Mytilus edulis: one gene and its partner. The protein of the gene in region 1 purifies or fractionates together with the protein of each later gene. This does not show direct contact. Links are inferred from orthologs where the notes say so. Each region holds a gene or a part of one and is shown in the gene's direction. Other genes may lie near its edges.

The links.
Region 2: the proteins of CDK5 regulatory subunit-associated protein 3-like (region 1) and ubiquitin-fold modifier 1 purify together in Homo sapiens (co-immunoprecipitation; 3 studies listed by BioGRID and IntAct, with this or other methods). This does not show direct contact. The link is inferred for Mytilus edulis from reciprocal best matches to the Homo sapiens genes CDK5RAP3 and UFM1.

Annotation. Positions count from the first base shown.
Region 1 is NC_092345.1:53,559,935-53,571,256, reverse strand, and holds the start of CDK5 regulatory subunit-associated protein 3-like, read left to right. Parts: upstream 1-6,406; 5' UTR 6,407-6,503; exon of another isoform or gene 6,504-6,514; intron 6,515-10,594; 5' UTR 10,595-10,613; coding exon 10,614-10,680; intron 10,681-11,322. Other genes in the region: beta-mannosidase-like, read right to left, coding at 133-281, 2,462-2,599, 5,974-6,115. UniProt on the Homo sapiens protein: Substrate adapter of E3 ligase complexes mediating ufmylation, the covalent attachment of the ubiquitin-like modifier UFM1 to substrate proteins, and which is involved in various processes, such as ribosome recycling and reticulophagy (also called ER-phagy).
Region 2 is NC_092351.1:22,722,872-22,733,559, reverse strand, and holds the start of ubiquitin-fold modifier 1, read left to right. Parts: upstream 1-6,491; 5' UTR 6,492-6,595; coding exon 6,596-6,597; intron 6,598-6,683; coding exon 6,684-6,740; intron 6,741-10,688. Other genes in the region: uncharacterized protein, read right to left, coding at 6,121-6,253. UniProt on the Homo sapiens protein: Ubiquitin-like modifier which can be covalently attached via an isopeptide bond to lysine residues of substrate proteins as a monomer or a lysine-linked polymer.

The DNA of each region.
Region 1 (11,322 bases):
ATTAAATCATTAGATCTTATCAAAACCAAAGAAAACAGATAATAAGCTTGATGTAGTATCATATGAAAGTAATTTTGTAGTAATCAATATATGATTATTTTTTATGAACTGATGAACACAATTTAATCATACCCTAGCAGCTTTCTTTATATCAAACACATATCTAACAAACATGTTATCTGATGTTCCCACTGTGATTCCATTGATAAAAACATGGGATACTGTATCCAGGCCTTCACAAACCAGTACCAGTGACTGCGATGAAAACATGGAAGACGTCACTGAAATGAAAAAAAATGCTTTTATAAAAGTAAAGTGGTGTAGTTTTTATCCTTTTTTTCCTTATTATTTTATCTGTGCAATTAGAAATTATAAAATATAAGGAGATGTGGTATGATGAGACAACTATCGTTCAGATCTCCAAATGAAATGGATGTAATACATTTGATCCGAGAGTTTATCAATGAAACTTTTCACCTTCAAGAGATTTTAAATAAATGTAGAGTATTTTAAATTAACAAATGATGTGACTAACAATATACAATTTAGTCTGATAATATTACCAAATGATATCAGAACACAGTTATTCACACCTTATCCACTACCTGAATTCAGTCAAATCCAGGAAAAACAGTTTCTTAGACAACTTCCTGTTAAGGTCAAGCATTGCAAAAACAAAGGTCATCAGCAATGAGCTCAGGGAGAAAAAGTTTGGATGAAGCAATTTTTAAAAGACAAATTAGATTAATTAAATATACTTTGTTTGATGTATTGACGAAGGTTTAAAAATGTCTCTCTGAAAAGTTTTATGCACAATACATTGTTTGAACAGGGCTATATATAGCTTCAACTGGTTTGAAAAAGTTGTGTAATTATAGAACTTATCCAGATTGGAATAAATAGCAATAAGGTGTCTTGAAGAGAATTGTTGTAACAAAAGATTCTGGGGAAATTGCCACACAACTTATATTTGCAAGTTAATTGTGATAAATGATTCAAGAATTTTCAAGTAATATCGAAACAACATAGCCATAGTAGTAGTACCACAAGGCTCATATTTCAATAAGGGTTGTCTACCACTGAAATTTAAATGGTGAAGGCCATGAAGCAGTTAAACCTACCACATGTATACATGTATATTAGACACACAAAAATCAGGTCTCAGTTGCTGTTTTTGATAGTCAGGATTCTACTTTGTCAAAATCATCTCCCCATTACAGCACCTAATTTTTCATTCGTGAAAATGAAATCCATTGAAGAGATGAAATGCTGTCAATCAAGTTGAAAACCAGGAAATTTATCTACATGGCATAATTACAATCCTTACATGACAGTTGTATTTTAAAACACTACAAAGTATCATTTAATGTACTATAAGGCCTTTTCAACTTAAAACTATTGTATGATTGACAACTGGTTGTCAGGGGTAGTTTTTACAATTGTTTAACAAACGCTACAAAGATATTTTAATAGTGATAACAAGGTTGAAATCTTATTACCTTCTTGACCGTAGATAATACACACAAAAAAAGATCTACGGTTTTGAGATTTTTTTCTATTTAATTTCAAAATATCTTGAACATGATGAAAGTCCATATACTGTGGATTCATTATAATTCGTTGAATACCAATTTTCAAGAATTTCATGGGTACAGTTAAACCACAAATTCAACTGTTCAACAATTAACATATTTTCAAAAGGGTTTTGTATACAGAGATTAGCAAAGCCACGTAATCAAATATCTACAAATATGCAAGTTTACAGCAATCTACGAAAATTAATACCCATGAAAATAAATGAATTCACAGTATACTTTAATTTGAGTATAAAGGTGATTATATATATATAATATGGAAAACCTATACTTAATAACTTAATTATGCACCTACACAAACCTTTAAAACTAAATAAAAGCCAAAGAAACAGATGTAAATAATTCAAATATACTTATCGGACCACATATGAATTATCACGTTGTGATTGGTTAAACGCCATCACGTGGTGATCCCCTATGAGACCGTATGGGGTTAGTAAGTTTCATATGGGGTTCATGACACGTTAATGGCGACGTCATCTATTAATGTTGTTTCATTGTTTATTTTTCAACAAAACGACGCAGAAAAAGTCTAGCATCCGATAAATTCATTATACGGTTAAAACTACTGACCCCCTACGGATCCATAGAGGGTGAATAAAATCCATAGGGGACTCGGCCTCTGGCCTCACCCCCTATGGATTTTACTAACCCTCTATGGATCCGTATGGGGTCAGTAGCGAACCATATAACTTATAATGTAGTATGATGTACCAACTTGGCCCCTTTTTCCTTTTCTAATAAATAGTTTCATTTGCTTTGTATACATGGTATAATTCAACTGGATAACAGATGTTTTTGTATTTGTTCTGTTCTTTTTGTATATTTTGAAGAAGAAAAAAACAAAGGCAGAATTAGCTACTTACCTTGAAAACTTTTGGTATAAGACCAGTTATCTTTGGCAATCCATCTATATCTGTCATCGTTGTCTCTGTAGTATGGGTCATCTATTTGGTTATTGTTTATGAGTGAAGTATAGATATTCCCTGGTACTGTACCAAGAACTGTTGAAAGATTATTTGTTTTATAGAAACAAAATTGTAGGTTATCACATTTTATTTATTTGAGTCTCACCAAGATAAACAAGAGTTGTGACCCTTGGTCTGTCAAACTTCTGGTATTGGTTTGAGCTGAACTAAGGGTATCTTGAAATAATCCTTGGGTTTGGCTCACTTTAAATTACAAGAGTCAACTACAACATGTATATAATTATATATACATAAAAAACACTATTCTTAATTAAAAACCAATTGTTGTCTGAACAATTGAATGTCTTTCCACATCAATTTTCATAGTTGTTGAGAAGCAGCTAGTTATTGTTTACTCAAAGTTTAAATTTGCATCAAATCATAAATTTCTTTATACTGATGCGATTATTAAGTGTTTTCTATATACTTAGAGAGAAATAAAGGAGATAGTGTACTACTTCCTGTGCAGTAAATGTTACTTCCGGTCTCATATGATAGCTTCTTTCACTCTGATTCCAAAATATATAGTTTCTATATACATTTGCCTGTAAACCAGGAGAGAATTGGCCACTTCCGGTTGACCAAAGGTCAATTCTAGTCTTTAATGATCAGTCAATGTATTTAAATTACAAAATATATGAATTCTGGGTACTTTTTCTTGAAAAAAGTGCAAAAATTGTTACTTCCAGTCTTCTTAATGTCACTTCCGGTAGTAATTTTTCAAGGTCATACATGTATGTCACCCAACCGTTTTTAAAAGGTCAAATGGCCTTACAATCAAGCAAACATTTTGCACTTGTTCTTTTATACCATCTTCAAAAGAATTGGAGAAAATGCAAAGACAAGTAAAGGAAAAATTGAGGACTCAACCTTGACCTTATTTTCTTTTTTTGGATCAAGAACCTCAAATCAAAAGATCCTAGGTCTCTATCACTTATAGTTTACAAGAAAGGAATACATATCACTTATATCTCAAGCATAAGGGGAAATAACTCTCATATGGAGTGTTCATATGGCTTCGGTCAAGAATAAATCATGTGAAGTATATAATGAGCAATTTCATAAAATAAATTTGTTGCTTTTTTTTTAATGGTTACAGAGGAGATGTAGTCACAAGGAAAACAGTGTTTGGGGAGATAACTCTTACAAAAAAAATTGTTTGTCTTAGCAGGGTGAAATTTTAAAGGGCATGAACTATGCAATACAATATGAAAAATATCTAAGCAACATATTGCGAAACAAATGTTAATCGCAAGAACAAAATAAGGCAGAAGATAATAATCAGAACAAATACAATAGGTCTTTCCACTTTTCTGTGGAAAGACCTAATTAAAATCAGGGGTCTGATCCTTGATTCCAATAATTGTTTTGTCTGAATCATGTATCCCGCTTATGGTTGCCATAATAGCGCATACAATTTCTAGTGTCCTGCCAGACATTTTTTCCTTTTTTCACTCTCAAGAATTTGACTTTCAGGTGTAAGTTTTAGAAAAATAAAAGGATCTTGAGCAAACAATTTATATAAGAACCAAGATAATTTCAACTCGCTTGTTTGTAATAATTATTGCCAAAAAAACACATGACAGTCACGTTTTGAAGATCCTTTGTCTGACAGGTAGAAAATATGGGTATACTTCTTGTAACCACTCAGCATTTTTCACAACTATTCTAGTGATGTGTATTTTGACATTTAATAAAAATGGCTGACCAAGTAATTTTAATTTAATTACTTCTTACATCCTTAAAAGCAACTTCATACCTGCCAACTTTCACGATTTAGGCGTGTACTACACGATTTTGATCCTTTGTCACGATTGCACGATCGTGATCGTGAAAAAAGCTATAAAACACGATTTTGTGAAAATTTACACGAAAAATTTCATTGTTCCCGATTTTGAACTGTGTTCAAGGGAGACAATCGTGTTAGCCGATCAAATTCAGTGTTTCTTGTGATCAAATTAATGAGCCAATCAAAAACGTTTCCTATCAACATGATCAAGATTATTCTAACATGCTAGATTTTCAACTTGTGTTGTAGAATTTTAAAATCTTGAACATGGGTGATTTTTCACCTTCAATGAGATTCTTACACAGATTAAGAATAAAAGCATGGCTGATTGACAAAATTCAATGATGCAGTACTACCATAAAGATAATAAATAGTAGTTTATTCACTAATTTATTGACATTACAATTCAATTACATTACCAAATCATTAAAGTACAATGTACTATTCTTTATTTTATACAAGGACCAAACAAACAGGTAAATGGGGGACTGTTCCTAAGACAAGGGTCATTTGACTATAATAAAAAATAAATTAGAATTTTATTTTTAATTGAAAATGGGAAAATTCATTATATTTGGAAAAACTTTTCTAAATGAGGATTAGGATTCCAATTTTTTTTAGGTCTCAGAACATTTCAAAATTATTGCACATGTGTTGACCATATAATACCAGATAGATCATAAGATGTATACATTTGTAGTTCTTTGGGAAAATTTCTTCAGATAGTATGAATATGTGCTCATTTGTTAAAAAGTGGGTTTTAATGGCCTTACATTGAGGGGTTACCCCTAGCATGTCACCCCTAGGTGTTATTCCCAACTTTATAAAGGTCCTTCTTTGTGCATAATTTTGAATTGGAAAAGCCAACAATCATTTAATATCTTTACACATGAAAATAAATCCTGGTCTTATAGCTACATATTCATCTTTTCTATTGATATAATAACTAGAATCATGCAAATATCCTTAAGAAAAAGGCTTGTAAGCTCATCATACAAATATGACACCTTTTCTAGACCACAAAACAGCACGCGCAAAATACGTCGCAAAGAACTTAACCTTTGAAATTGTTGTCGCGCACTAAAACCCCCATGGGCACTTTCAAAAGTTGGCAGGTATGCAACTTTGAATCTTGCATACATGTGTCACATTGTAGTGTTGTTGTTCATGTTGTTGTTCTACATATAGAAGAAAAACATGCCACAATGTTATGTTTGTGCACTCGAAACTGACGAAATGTGGTTTATAGGAAAACATATGACATACGAAAAAAACATATGAGTCGATATGACACGACGATAATAAGATTTACAATATAATGTGTAATTCAATGCATAACTTTGCAAAAGTAATTGTAATATAATGCATTATTTTGATGCATGTTATTGTAATTCAATGCATGGTTTTGTCAAATTAATTGTGATATAATGCACTACATTGCAATGTAATTGTAATATAATGCACAACATTGTAATATAATTGTAATATAATGCATAACATTGCAATGTAATTCGCCCGATGCCAATATATGGAGCCAATTTTGAGGTTTCAGACATTAATATTTAACTCTTAAATTTGATCATGTTTTTGTTCCACATTTCAAAGACTATATTAAAAGTACCTTTTCCTGGTGAACTGTCATCCCGTCTACTTTCATCAGCTATAACCCATTGTCCGTTTAGATCGATAGTCTGCAACGTTGTATAAGCTTTGTCGATTAAAAGTACAGAATAGAGAAGTAATGCCCTCACCAAGGTAGACATGTCCTTCTATAAAATTTGTTATTGTATCTGAAGGATATCTTTTATCTATTTGGATAATCAAGACGAAAATTCGGCGGGCATCTTGAAATCATGTGACACCAATACGAAAACGAAAATGAAAGTAGCTTGCTAAATTATGTCTTACAATTATATTTTTAAATGGTCACTTCTTTTCAAAATCTATGTGGTTAGTTCCAATTTCATTTATTTTTTTTAAATTTGTTATTTAAATAGTTGCTTTGTTTAATCTATAATTTTTCATAAATATAATTTTATTGCGAAATATTAACCAATAAAACAGACTGTTACTGTCGGGACTGAGGTACTAAAATTGTACAGTTTATATCGGGCAATTCCGTCTAAACAAGCCAACGTGTGTGCTTGACAGGTAAACATCTGGTAGTTAATTATACACCTCTTCTGATTTTTTCCCTGTGTTTATGAGCTTCTATCCGACACATACATTTATTGTCCACATTTTAGTATACTGAAAATAATACGAGGAACTTGTTTCCTGTGATAGAGGAACAAAAATTATTAGTATCAGCATTTTTTTCCCTGATAGTGAATTAACTTATACATGTACACTCATAAAATGTCATTATATTTTACAAAATAATATATGTGTTAGTATTATTTGTCTTTATGTTGGGATCTCCTGTAGTTGGTGATCGCAATACTGGTATACCAGTATTGTGCACAATACTGGTATAAAAATTTTGTACCAGTATTGTATTCCAGTATTGTACCAGTATTGTGTTTTTTTTAAATAAACAATACCTATACCTACAGGTAATTAATATCAATTTTTTTATTAAAGGTGTCACATACATATGCATAATGAAATTAACATATATGACATGACAATTTTACAGGGAATGATTGTAGGTTTAACAGATGATGACATTATTTATGGTACACAGCGATTGTCATTAAAGAAAGTTTTAAATCTTTCTAATGTTTTTTACTTCAGGGAACCCTATATGTACTGTCGCAGCACTTTAACAAACTGTTTACTTTCTTCTATCTATGTTTTCTTTCAGCTTTCTCTTTCCAAGACTCATTGTATATTCTAGTAAATTCTATATTAACATTGCTGTTATACACACACTTCGGATATTGATATTTAGTATTCAGTTTCAGTGGACTTTCTCTTACGCTAATACTAGATTTAATACAAGCTTTTTCAGATAGCACCTGTACAGTTCCTTACTGTCGGTGTGCTTGTCTAGTATTAGTATTTGTACCAGTAGATATATCTGCTACGAATTGTATTGCCCATGGTTATGAATCAACTACTTTAACTACCCTTAACATTCATGTAGACAAACTAGTTAATTTGATAAAAATCAGGTACCGCTATTAAGCAACTTTTTATGTTTAATGGATATTGATATCTTTTTTTGTGATTATTAAGAAACTAAAGACCAACAAATACATATAAAATAGTATTTAGACTAGTAAACATACATGACATATATATTAAAATATCTGTAAAAAAAATATGATATTAAATTGAGAATGGAAATGGGGAATGTGCCAAAGAGACAACAATCCGACCATTGAAAAAAACAACAGCAGAAGGTCACCAACAGGTCTTCAATGTAGCGAGAAATTCCCACACCCGGAGGCGTCCTTCAGCTGGCCCCTAAACAAATATATACTAACATACATGTAAATGATAAATTTACAGTCAGAAAGTGTTAGAGTGTAATAATTTGCTTGAATTTTTTTTCAACATTAAAATTTTGTTAAATAATAACTCAGATAAATTAAATAAGATATAGAAATATGATTAAATGTTTAGCAATTATTATACATGATTAACAATTGTTTATGTTTTATAAATGTATGTAGTACATGCATGAGTTAATTACAATATTCTTTTGTTTATTTGTACAAGTATAATACATTGTTATTTTTTTTTAACTGGTTGTTAAATATGAATATTGATTTCACAATTATCCTCTATAATCTTTTGGAGTTCATTTAATTTCCCTTTGATCTTCAATATCTAATTTTGCTTAAAATTATTTTTTTCATTATTCACCTATATGTAACCTTAAAGTATAGTCAACAATCAGACAATACAACTACAATACTGGTATATCAGTAATGTACCAGTATTGTTGTTTTTTGAAAAAAAGTTACAATACTGGTACAAAATTTTTATACCAGTATTGTACACAATACTGGTATACCAGTATTGCGATCACCAACTACAGGAGTTTACATATTGTGTATTGTAAAACTCATATGCTTGATATTTTATTGAATGAAATATATTATTAGTAGTATTCACGGTGTAGTGGGTCTTATTGGGGTCTAAGCGTGACACGGTATTGCCGATTTTTTGTAAGCGTGACACGTGAAAGTCAAATTATTGTGTTGGGAAAGCAGGAAATGAGGTCTAGCGGGACCCGGGAAATGACAAAAAAATGAGAACTGCTTACGTACATAGTGTAAAAATGTGTAAGCGGGATATGGTAATCTGACAAAATGTTAAGCGGGATCTGGGATCGGAACCCCCCAAATGAGACCCCCGGTGTAGAATGGTAAGGGACTCATCAGGTGTTTTCTGCCTTTCTGCACTAATCAGGTTCAGCAATGGATTTATCAGATTTTATTTCAAGACAGCATGAAACACAATGAGCCACATAACACAAACAAGAAAAACAGATTCGTGTACATGGTGTAGCTCTTAATCAATTCCAGAAAACTTGGTGAATAATGATCTTCAAGCACGAAAACTGATAAAAAAAAATGTAAAAACGTCGTACGAAAATAAGTTTCAACACACGTGTCAAAAAATGTAATAGACTCGTCCACTGGAAAACGAGAATATTGGGTTAATCTGTTGTCATGCATTCCTGTTTTTTTAACCAAATGGCCAATATTTTTTTTTATCTATGAAACAAGAAAATTTCAAATGATTTGTTAATATTCAGTATTTTAACATGATATCACATAATTTGGACAAGTCTATTCCTATGAGATGCTGCATCTTACGGACTGATGACAAATAAGGGAAACAAACTTATTTTTGTAATTGGTTTTAAACTCCGGTTTCGTTCCGCAAAATTATTTGCGCAAACGACATTTCAAGGTCAGTAAGTTTAAACATATTTATTTATAGTGGATTGGGAAACAAGTTTTGCAACTTATATTAATCCCTTTCCACTTTGCGGGTGCGAGTGCTGCCTTGTAGTGGCATTAGCCTGCTCTTTTTCGAAATCTACAAGGGTGTCTTTAACGTGCAAGAGATATGGCTCTCTCTTAACACAGGTCAGCCATTTATCGTCCCCTTCCGACGGACTATCATCGTTTCCTCGAGACTATACTCGCAAATGGTGTCAAGGGAGAGCCGAAAATTCAGTTCCTGAAATTTTCATCCCAGACGGGAATCGAACCAGGAACCTTTGTGTTAGTAGTCCGATGTACTAACTACTACACCACAGCTCTCTGATTATTTTTCAGGGATAATGCATTTGTTAGGGTCGGCGGCATGAAAAGTCAATTTTATTTTTATTCTGAAAATCGGCAAAATCGGGTCAGCGGATCCGTAAACCAACAAAATAAAAAAACATGGCCTTACTGAATGCACATACCTGCCAACCTATGAAACATCTTCCCCTCAGCCATGACAGCTTAGGGGGAGATTATGCGCGAACAACATTTTCAAGTGAAATATATGACCTGTTTATCTATTCATCTACAAAACACAATCATATATAAGAGTTATTGAATATACTTTATTTCTTTAAATATACTTATAACCTGTACAGAATGTGTTGGTTGTTTATTCTTTCTCATCATCTTTGTCATTTGCATCCCATCAGGACAACTTTATTGTATTTGTATTCCATGTGTTCAACCATAATGGTTACATGGTGCAGGTTGTGTATGCACATTTTCATTAAGTTTATCAACAAATGGAAGTTTTTAACGACCTTGACTGGCTATACAGCCCTTGCAGGTCGGTTTTAAGTTAAATACAAAAAATGGACACAAAAACGTACTTAATGTTGACTTGTCATTCAAGGTTAAAATATCCCAAAGCGGGAGATTTTGTAATCCCGCCCGGGAGGGTACCGGCAAGCGTGAGATTTCCTGAATTTCAGCATTTAAGTGGGAGTCTCCTGTTCAAAACGGGAGGGTTGGCAGGTATGAATGCACCAATGATCAATTCCACACAAAACAGGACAACGGGCTGAACACAGTCTGTTTTGTCTATTTATTATTAGCCATGGCGTTGTCAGTATATTTTCTATCTATGAGTTTGACTCTGACCCTCTGGTATCTTTCGTCCCTCTTTCAAAAAGAGAGAACACTTTTCGCTATGATTCTAAAGTTGTGTGAGCCCTTGACCACAGTTCACCATGATAAAAGATTAAAGGCTTTTATAAACCATTGGTACTAGAACAACATTAAGAGTGATATGTGATATTAGTGACAACACATTTTTCTTGTTTCTTTTAGATAACTAAACCAATTCAACATGGCATCAAATTCACAACAGACAGTACAGGCATTACCTATTGATATTCATTACAACAAATTACTTGGTAAGAATTACAATCATTTTTGTCTAGCTTTCAACATTTTGTTGCAGAGGCTAGACATAGTGATCCTATACATTTTACAAGTGTCATCGCACATGTCAATATTTAGATTCAATCTTGGTTTAAGTGTTATTTATACAACAATTACTAAGTCAAACCATCATGGAATGGTATGCAACTTGGACAAATCTTTTTTTATGTTATATAAAAAACAGTATCTAAAGCAAAATTATGAATACATTTTTATTTTTTTTTCCATTTTCCTGTATTTTACAGAGTTCAACATTTTATTCAACACTTAGGTGTTGACATGAATATCAATTATAATCCCAGGAATAGATAACCTTATCCGTATTTGGCACATCTTTTTGGAATTTTTGGTCCTCAATGCTCTTCAACTTTGTATATGTACTTGTTTGGCTTTATAAATATTTAGATCTGAGCGTCACTGGTGAGTCTTATGTAGACGAAACACACTTCTGGCATATTAAATTGTAATCCTGGTACCTTTGATAACTATTTACTGGTGTAAACTGTAAAGAATGTAATACATTTTGTAGTGTTTTGTTTGAAGGCAACTTCTGGTGTAAAAAATACCTCTGAAATGAAAGCTTAAAATTATTACAATTATTAAAAAAAATATAT
Region 2 (10,688 bases), on another chromosome or scaffold:
TGGGACAATGTATATTTCGCTGATAAACCGTTCAATTATAGTTGGCTGTTATATGATATATGTGTCATTGGTGAATATAGATATGCTCCATTTGTCGTTGCCAAAGTCCTGTCCTTTCTTTTACATTACCGAATGCAATTCATCACCAGATTTTACCATTTCACAAGCTGGCGGGTGTCAATAATGAAGCAGAAGTTTACACTTTCGGAGCACCACATTTCACAAACATTAAGCTTATGTGCATGTCCCTCAATCATTAGCCTAGTGTGGTGTGTATTGTGAACTTATATTATTTTCGATTCTTCATCTGCAATATCTTTCTTCGTCTTATCGTAAGCAATGATATGTAGCCACCTTAAATGGCCTAATAATATGCAGATGAATTTGCAAAACCGATCAAATGGGTAAATATTGACTATACAAACAAGTTTACTTTGATTTTGCTATTTGATTACGGAATTTCCGTTTAGAATTTTCCTCTGAGTTTTTTTTGGGGGTATTTTACTCTTTTATGGTAACGAAAAGCCTTCAAAGAGCTGAAACCTCCCGAAAAAAGTAGTATTCCATATATGTCTATTCCTTTTTTGAATTCTTCGACGAAAAGAGCATATGTGACGTCAGTTTGCAAAGAACTTTGCTCAAACCTGTGCTAAGGACCGTTTTAAACTTGAAGTGAGGGTAGAGTTTTTGCTATGTGTTGAAACTCTCATTGTCATCTTGAGATGAAGATAAGCAATAACAACACAGATTTTTGTTTTTTTTCTGTTTTTGCTGAGCGTTTACTCATTCTGTGTAATGGTAAGATTCCCCATATCCAATATTCTATTCTATTATGTAAGTTCGATCTTGTTCCTCGTCAGTTTGTCAGTAGGTCGTAAAACATTATGTAAGTTCGATCTTGTTCCTCGTCAGTTTGTCAGTAGGTCGTAAAACATTATGTAAGTTCAATCGTGTTCCTCGTCAGTTTGTCAGTAGGTCGTAAAACATTATGTAAGTTCAATCGTGTTCCTCGTCAGTTTGTCAGTAGGTCGTAAAACATTATGTAAGTTCAATCGTGTTCCTCGTCAGTTTGTCAGTAGGTCGTAAAACATTATGTAAGTTCGATCTTGTTCCTCGTCAGTTTGTCAGTAGGTCGTAAAACATTATGTAAGTTCAATCGTGTTCCTCGTCAGTTTGTCAGTAGGTCGTAAAACATTATGTAAGTTCGATCTTGTTCCTCGTCAGTTTGTCAGTAGGTCGTAAAACATTATGTAAGTTCAATCGTGTTCCTCGTCAGTTTGTCAGTAGGTCGTAAAACATAATGTAAGTTCGATCTTGTTCCTCGTCAATTTGTCAGTAGGTCGTAAAACATTATGTAAGTTCGATCTTGTTCCTCGTCAGTTTGTCAGTAGGTCGTAAAACATTATGTAAGTTCGATCTTGTTCCTCGTCAGTTTGTCAGTAGGTCGTAAAACAAATGAGATTATGTTTGATAAGTTATCTCTGTTTTGATTGAAATCTCCTACCTTGGCAAAATAAAAGTTCGATTTTCATTTTGCTTTGTCATTATCAACAAATATGTAATTCGACATGTCTCAAATACTGTTTAAATTTATATTTGATTTCCTCTCCTAATTCAATTTAAAATGTAATATCTATTTACATGTATAAAAATTGGAGCGAACCACGGTATTATACCGTTGTAAATATCTAGTCCTTTAAGTTATTCGTGACTTTGTCTTTCATGCTAAGATTAAAGGAAACATTAAACAAAACATAGTGTGAGTAAACAAAATATTCAATACCACATGTAAACAGAAGTTAAGTGAATATTTTGCACCTTTTGCTTGTACAAAAATTATTAAAGTTCCTCTTTTACACCAGTATTTTACAGTAACAGACACATACTCGTACTTAGTTAACGGTGTCTGCTGAGAACTCGGCCTCGCTCCGTCAATAGATAAATACAAATCTTCAATGGTGACAGTCTGCAATGTATACCGTGTAAATTTTGATCACCTTTAAATGTTATAAACTGTTATTCGATACATCATTACCTTTTTTCGCAAAATCATACTTGTTTAGCTTAAGGTGGGAACAACTGAAAGGTTATATATATCATTCAAAGGCTCACAAGTCCGAGGATCTATCGATCCCTGCGATGTTTAACCCATAAATATAAGAGAAATTCGTACCGCCAACAGGTTAACACTTATTGTGGTTCACTGAGGGCGAACCCTTTGTTAATTGATAAGTACAAAAAGATTCATCTTTCCTATTGAATAAAGGATGTCATAATTAAAGGCATGTTTTTGATAGCAGATAGCATATCGACGACAGGTACCTACCTACCAGATGGTGATTCCAATCGTTCCGCACAAGGTGTTCACTTCATCTGATATCAATGGGAAAGGACAAGGACAACTTCGAGTCTGGTACATATATAGAAAAAATTGTGTGGTACAGAAAAAAAATATTTGACCGTATTTTATCGTCTAAAGATATATGTCAATTTTACAAAACGGGTGTGATTTTTTTAGTACTTGTTATTGGCATCTCTACAAACGGTCGAAGTCACAGAAAACAGAAACTAGCAAAAATCCGCTATTTTTCAACAGAATGGACCAGTTTGTGTACCATCGGTTTTTCGCCATATTTGAAAAATTTGTGAAACTTGAAGAGATAACCGATTCTTATCACACCTTGCCATTTCACTAGCTTGTAACAATAATTATGAAATGGTCTCAAGTGCTGCGTTTCCAGAAGTTCCTATATCATACATGGATAAAGTATACATGTATACGTACTATAAAACAATAAGTAGCTTTCTATTACAAAAATGTATGAGGGCAACCGATCAACGAGGTAAAATAATAAAAAGGGATTAGGACAGGCGTGTACGCAGCATTTGCTGCTTCAACATTTAAATATTTTCATTTATATTAAAATCCATCTTAACTCGAAATTGGCCCTTTCTATGACTTTTGTAAACTTTAACAGTTCATTAATAACAATCCTTTTCACTAAGCAATTTGGCTAAAACAAGTTATATTAATATATGGTAGTACACCCGATTTCCACATCTGCGAAAACTATTTCAAATGTCAAGTTTCATAATTGTGTTAATTTTAAATTGATAATATAGATGTAAACAAAGATTTGTGACCATATGTTGACTTTACATGTAGCTTATCTCGGATTCGATATCTGTACTTGTAAGAGACATTACGATTGTGATTGAGCTAGTTCATCATGTACGCACACATGTGTATATACTGCAGTTTTGCTTAGGTTTACATAATTACACAATTTTGGAGAAGTTCTGTGTTTATTTCTGTTTTATGTGTCTTCCATTAAAGCTAAATAGTTAGGTGGACTGAAATGAGAATGGCTTTCTTCGTTAAATTGATAACCTCACGTTGTATGTTATGTAATGAAACGCATTTAAGAAAAATACGAGTTGATCCAATTAGCGTTAAAATCTTTATTAATATGCTTCTTTGTATACAATTTTTTGAAATGGTGTTCTTTATGGGTTTTAATATTATAATGCACTATATAACATGTGACCCTCCTTTGTACATAACGCATTACACCCAAAACCACCACAAGTAGATCGCTTGTGTGGCATATTATGAAAAGAAAAACTCGTAAACAATAATTTCTCATACTTCAAAGATAGATGCTTCAAATTGAATATTGTTTGTGGCAAGGATTTTGAAATTTATAATTACATTCATGTTTAGAGCGATAACAACAAAAAAATAAAAATTATTTTGTCAACAAAACTTATCCTAAAACCAGAAAATATCTATTTATAATGCAATTTGTATATTTACTTCATTCTTCATTACGGTTTAAAAAGTCTGTTGTTTTTTCTCTCTACATTTTGTCATAATGGGGGGGGGGGGGGGGGGTTCCGTCGTAATCTGTCTATAGGTTTGGCCGTAATTCGTTTGTCTTTACTTTTTGCAATCATATCAAATCTTCTAAGTTTTATATCTATAAGAGGATTTGCACTATAGTTGTTTATAATAACAAGATGACTTAATCATAATAGGAGTGGAGGAGGGAAGTTTCATTATATATATCTGACTTATTTTCAACTTATTTCAACTTGTTAAGTGCAAAATTGCTTAACATTTACGAATCAACCGGAAAGCATTTATTATGCATGCACGACTGTTGAAAATATCTGACATCAAGAGGTGGGCCAATCTGAAAGTACTTAAATTTGGTGTGGCCTTTTCTATTCGTGTACATGTTAATACGTTTGTAATTTTCCTATCATATCCTATGAAGTTGAAATTTGGTCACAATTTTTGTTAGCTTTTGCTTTGTTAATCACCTTGGGTCCGTAGAATTCACATTTGCTAATGAAATACTTTATCTTGCTTTGTTAATTCCCTTTGGTCCGTAGAATTCACATTGGCTAATGAAATACTTTGTATCTGCTATCCAAATGTTTTAAGTGCAAATTACGTTCTATCTGAAATAACATGTGATTTTTGTCCAAATATTACCATTAAGCTAGATTTTCTTGTAAATTTGTAAAATTTTAAGTGACGAAGCAAATTAAGAATTTAAAGCGGCATGTTTAGTCACCAACTGATTATGTATCTAAAAAAAGAGACTAAACTAAGCAAAGTGAATTCATTGACAATATCTGATGTATAATCTATGAAGTGTTATCTTACAACGATTTCAGTTTCATCGGCTACCGACACAAAATGGTACAGTTTGTTTTGTTATGTTTATGATATGCTCTTTTGGTGCCCAGCAGCACTTGTTACAGTAAATCGTCGACCACTTTTAAATTAATTTAATCCAAACATTCACAGTCAATTGAAACGATGGGAAAACATCAGACTCTTTTAATATAGTTTTTTTTTGTAGCGAAAAGAAGGTTATGCAAATACACTCATCATAGATACTAGGCTTGACATTTTGTATGCCAGACTCACGTTTCGTCTACAAAAGGCTTATCAGTGATACTCAAATAAGAAAATATAAAAATGTAAAAAAAAAACGTTAAAAAGGTAAAGAAATTTAGAATGAGTTTGTCAATTGCTGCCAAAGGTGATGTATCTTTGGATTAGGAAATCATTATATATATATATAGTATTTCAGAAAAAAATGAATACTATACTGAAATTAAGATAGCATGTATATATATACGTTAAGTGCTGGCGGAAAAAAGATTTCAATTTTAATACAGAATTCATCCATATAAAAACTTTTTGGATCGTAGATGGAGGCCAAGGTTAATTATGCCAAAAACAAACAAAATTATGGGGAAAAAATACCAAAATTTACTTTAAAATACGAATAACGTTTATACAAGGGGTCAAAACTTCATAAATTTCAAAGGAAGGTGTCATAAAAATATATTTTTTGTCTTAGTAGTATTTTCAGAAGTATTTCTATGTGAAATTTGTAACTTTTTGGCCCGATTTAAAAAAACATCATAAATTTAGGGCCAATTTTAACCCTTCGTGAACCTTCTCCTTTCTTGGTGTATAAAATCTTGGACGTCCGGGACATCGACAACGGACATTTTACATAACTGATTAAACTATTAAACTAATAAATAGGTCGGTGTCGAAATGAAATGGGTCCTTGTAGAAACCGAGTTTATTTGGTAACTCAGTTCCAATATTGAATTTCTTTTTTCTCCTCAACTTCCAAATGAATACTTCGTCTTTTTCAACATAGATATATTGGTTGATTGATGATTGCTTTACGCCACATCAGCGCAAAAAAAACTATATCATATATATATATATATACATGTATAGACATAATACGTCGAGTATATTCATTTCTTTTGTGACAGAATTCCATCATTTCCAATTGGCATATCAGATTCACATAATCTTGCTTTTCTTATTTTTTTAACAATTAATTTATATGGAAAAAATTGTGTTGCATTATTTTTGTTAATTAAACAGATATATATGTTAAAGACATATATCCAATTGACATAAAAACTGTCAAATTGTTAATGAAAGATAAATGTTTGAAAAATTTTACAATACAAAGTCCGCTGCTGTATTAATAAATAGAATAAGATATCCAGATATTATAACAAAGTGTGAAATACGCCTCTTACAAAAATTACTATTAGTAAAAGAAAACTTACCCAAGAATCCTTCTTCTAAGTCGCCCCTCCTAATTTTATTTTTAATTGATTCATCCGTAGGTCCTAAATAATTTTCTGCATACACATTGCATAAAGTAAATACTGACAAAATTAAAACAAAGTAAAGCCCCATCTCTGCACACCACTGTTCAAGAGATCATTTCTTATCAAGTCACATGATTAAATGCTAATAAAATAAACCTTTCCGCTAGGTGTCGACAACATTGCTGGGATTTCCCTTAGAACAAAAATAGTTTTCATTCAAATAACCGTCTTCTCAAATTAAAGCGTTTATTCAATGCTATTAGACAGAAATAGATATAGAAATTGTTTTATGTTTCCTGATTATAATTAAATGACAAATTAGATCTATTTTATTCAAACAATTAAAACGTTTTATTATTAAGTTTTTTTTTCATTTACGTCAGCGGTATAAGAACCTCGACTTCCGGGATTGCGTGTCACAGCTGTCAAAATGTAAGCATGTGTGTTTATTTCCAGAAATTTGTTTATTTTAGTCATTATTATCACAGTTAATACACAACTTTACTTTCTAATTGTAGGTCTAAAGTTACTTTCAAGATCATTCTGACATCGGATCCAAAACTTCCATACAAAGTGTAAGTTTTACAATATTGACCATTTTTGAAAAAAATCGAAAAGGGTACCGCGTTACATTCGTGTGTTTGAATTCATAATACGCTTAAATAACTTTACCGGTGAAATAATAAAATTCTAAACAATTTTGACAAAATTCATTTTTATCTTTGAAACAATTCATTATTCCCGTGTGTGTACAATTTGTAAGTTGAGTGACAGAGTGTACCATATGTCAACCTGAGACTACAAGTTTCAACACATGATACATGTACATTTATAGAAGCATTAGTGTCTACACATTATCAAGTGATGCGCACTTCATGTTCATAATAGTATACTCCACAATACATGACGTTACTCAGGGCCGTAACTAGGGTTCGAATTCAGGGGAGGCAGGGTTTGGGGGCCGCCGATTGAGGCCCCCGTTAGATATGGGGGTTGGGGGCACAGCCCCCGCCGATTTTTTTCCCCTCAGTTATTGGCTAAAAATGACCTGTCAGTTCTCTTCGATTTCCTTACTTTAAGAAACATCAGTATTGCTTGAACCTGGAAGCAACTCAAACTTATGCAAAAACAAGCTGAGATTGCTGTTCAGAGTGAGCCAAGGCTCCGTCGTGAAGGCCGTACTTTGACCTATAATTGTTAACATTAAATACATTGTGACCGCGGATTTTTTTCTCAAATGATATGGCTAAAAATTACCCGTTTTCTTTCGATTTCCTTACTTTAAGAAAGATCAGTTTTGCTGGATCTTTGGAGAAATTTTCAAGCAAACAATTATTATCTGTATTAAAAGATATTTTTTTTTAAAAACTGGTAAGTTCAAAAAACATATAAAGCAAGATAATAGAACGCAAGATAATTTTTTTATTTATCGAGGATCTTGAATTTCAATATTGTTGAAAGCTGAACAGACATGTATATAACTACAACCAGGGATTTTCTATACTAGTCTAGTATATGCTTAGTATAGTAAGTCCCTGCTACAACGAATGGGAGTGTTTACCTACTAAGGCATTGACCATAAATTATGTTCTCGTACGATCGGGAGTAAAAACGACCCAACAGCTGATTCAGCCGGTAATGAATTTCCGATATCTTAAAAGATTCACAATACAAAAGGAACTTCCTCTGCTTAATTGAGCCCCAAAAGAAATGTGAATAGTTAAGTTATTATTCAAAATTATCGAAAGCAAAGTTTCATATGTGTTCTCGTACAAATACTGACCCCTTCAATACTGAATAACAGACGGACGGCCACACGAAAAAAAACCGGTTCACTTTCGATCAAAAATCAGAAAAATGACAGACACAGTGTAAACTTGTGTTGTTTATAATATAAATTCAACATATGCTTAAAAAAAAAAATGGTGTAGAAAATTCAGGGGAGGCAGTTGCCTCCCCTGCCTCATAGGTAGTTACGGCCCTGTTACTTGTTATAACAATTTGATAAAATGTAACATTTACAGTGGCGGATCCAGAACTTTTCCTAAAGGGGGCCCTCTGACTGACCTAAGGGGGGGCCACTCCAGTCATGTTTCAATGATTCCCTATATAATCAACCAAATTTTTCCCATGAAAGGGGAGCCTAGAGCCCCCCTGGATCCGCCTATGATTTAGATTTAATTTTTAATGTGCTTGTATCTTTGTGTCATATATTTTCGTATCAACCACAGTTCGTTGGTTTCCAATGCATACTCGTACATTGTGGCATGTTTTTCGGTTTCTATATTTTGAACAACAACAACACCACAACGTGAAAAATGTATGATATATTGAAAGTCGCTTTTAAAGACGTAAGAAATAATTAAATTAAATATACCTGTTCAGCCATTTTTATTTAATGTCAAAAATATGTATCACCAGAATAGTTGGTGAGAAAAATTCTGAGGGGTTACATGAAGTATAGCTATATTTTCTGCCTTTGGGACACCATTTCTTCAAGACATGTGACTGTCATGTCATGATGTGTATTTTTGGTCATTTTTATTACAAACAAGCTAGTTAAAATTATCATGGTTCTTATATAAAATGGTTGTTCAAAATCCATTTTATTCAATATTCTATTGGCAATTCTTATTATTCATCCTGGATACATAGAGATGAAAACTGTCTTAATTTCTTACATTTAATCCCATTTTTTGAAATCTGCATTTTATTTAAAAAAAAAATAATGTTCTTTGTAGAAACCCAGTGCAAATCTGAAATAAATCACAATGTAACAATTTCCAGCACATGAAACACCAACCTAAAACTATTTACGAGTTATTTATAGTACTGAAAAGTATTTAATAACTTTTTTTATGATTCAAGCAATCACCAGAACCACAACTTTAGAAAATGCTCATTTCCAGACTTTAAAGTCATTTCCTGACGGTGTACTGATCCAATTTTTAATTCATACGAAAACCTATCTTTATATTACATGTAAAATAAGTTCTCATCACTTGCTCCTCGATTTTTTATATGTTACATGGCGACATATAAAAAATCGAGGAGCAAGTGATGAGAACTTATTTTAATAAGATTGTACGAAAACATATGACACTATTTTTTTTTACATACAAAAATCACAAATTAATCGGAAACAATAAAAAATTGTAGGAAGCCTTGACTTAAAATCTAGAAACCTAATAACATTCGACAGAACATGTTTTTAAAATTTGAGTAAGCACCTGATTAAAAATCCAACAGTGAAAACTGTCAGCAGTGAAACTTGTTATTAGTATGAAAATACATCACACGTCGGATGACATATTACATAGTTTTAACTTAACTAAAAATGCTAATAAATTAATTAGTTACTGGTAGTTTCACATCTATATTTGATTTTATAAAAACATAAATGGTACCCAAGGAAGACACTTAAAAATTAGGTGACCCTCAATAGAGTAGTTTTAGAATTTCACTGTTTAACACATCAGTTTTAGAACAATCACCCAAATGAGTGATACATATATCCCTTGCTCCAATAAGACAAGTTTGTTTTTTTTGCTGATGGAGTAAAGACAACAAATTTTTTTTTTTTACATAAAAGGGGACTTTTCTAAATCTAGTCATGCTGGAAGAGGGGTCTTCTTATATTCAGTATTGAAACATTGATAAAGAAGATTGAAGTCAATGAATTATCCAAAATTCATGGATTTGTTTTGTCAATATACATGTACCTACAAAATCAGATATATATACAACATTGTACAAAGCATATTGTTTTTTGGTAAAAGTTTTTGTAAATAATATAAATATGTGCCATTATGTCAATGTCCATGTTTTCTGTACTAAGAAGTGGTTTAAGAACAAAATTAAAATCATTCTATCAGTCATCATCTAAAGGGGTTGTTCCCATCCTGTCCATTCCTGTTATGGGCTATTTCAAAAAAAATGATGCCTTTCCTTTAAACCTTTGTCAGTCTCTTGTATGATACTATATCTGTAATGTTTTTAGGTCAGATAATGTATTATGATTGGTTGGTCCTAACTACCAAAGATAATAGCAGTATGTGCTCTGTTTAAAAAATATTGTCCAAAATTGTACCTCAAAATGTCAGGAGTGTAACGCTTTTAGTGTGACATCTAGAAGAAAGCATGTGCATTCCTTGATGATATAGAATAAATAAGGGAAGATACAATACCAAACAATATCTTTCATCCAACTATTATATCTTGACTATGATTTCTTATTCAATTCTTCCATATATTTACATTTTTATGAGCCTCATAAGGTAAGTCAAATAAGTTTGTGTAAAAAAAATAATTTGTTAGTAAAAGTCAATATGCTGCCAGAAAATGTCTTTGTAGGTGAAATAACATGTTTCTGTACATCTTGCACGGTTTATTTTTTTTTGTTTAGTATCATAGCTTGGCACAGGTGCATCCAGTTGACCCTGAAGTTCTACTACTGGAATATTATGGTTACAATAAGAGGACTACCCAGGTCTGTCAGGAGTGTAACAACTGGGTTAAGATGT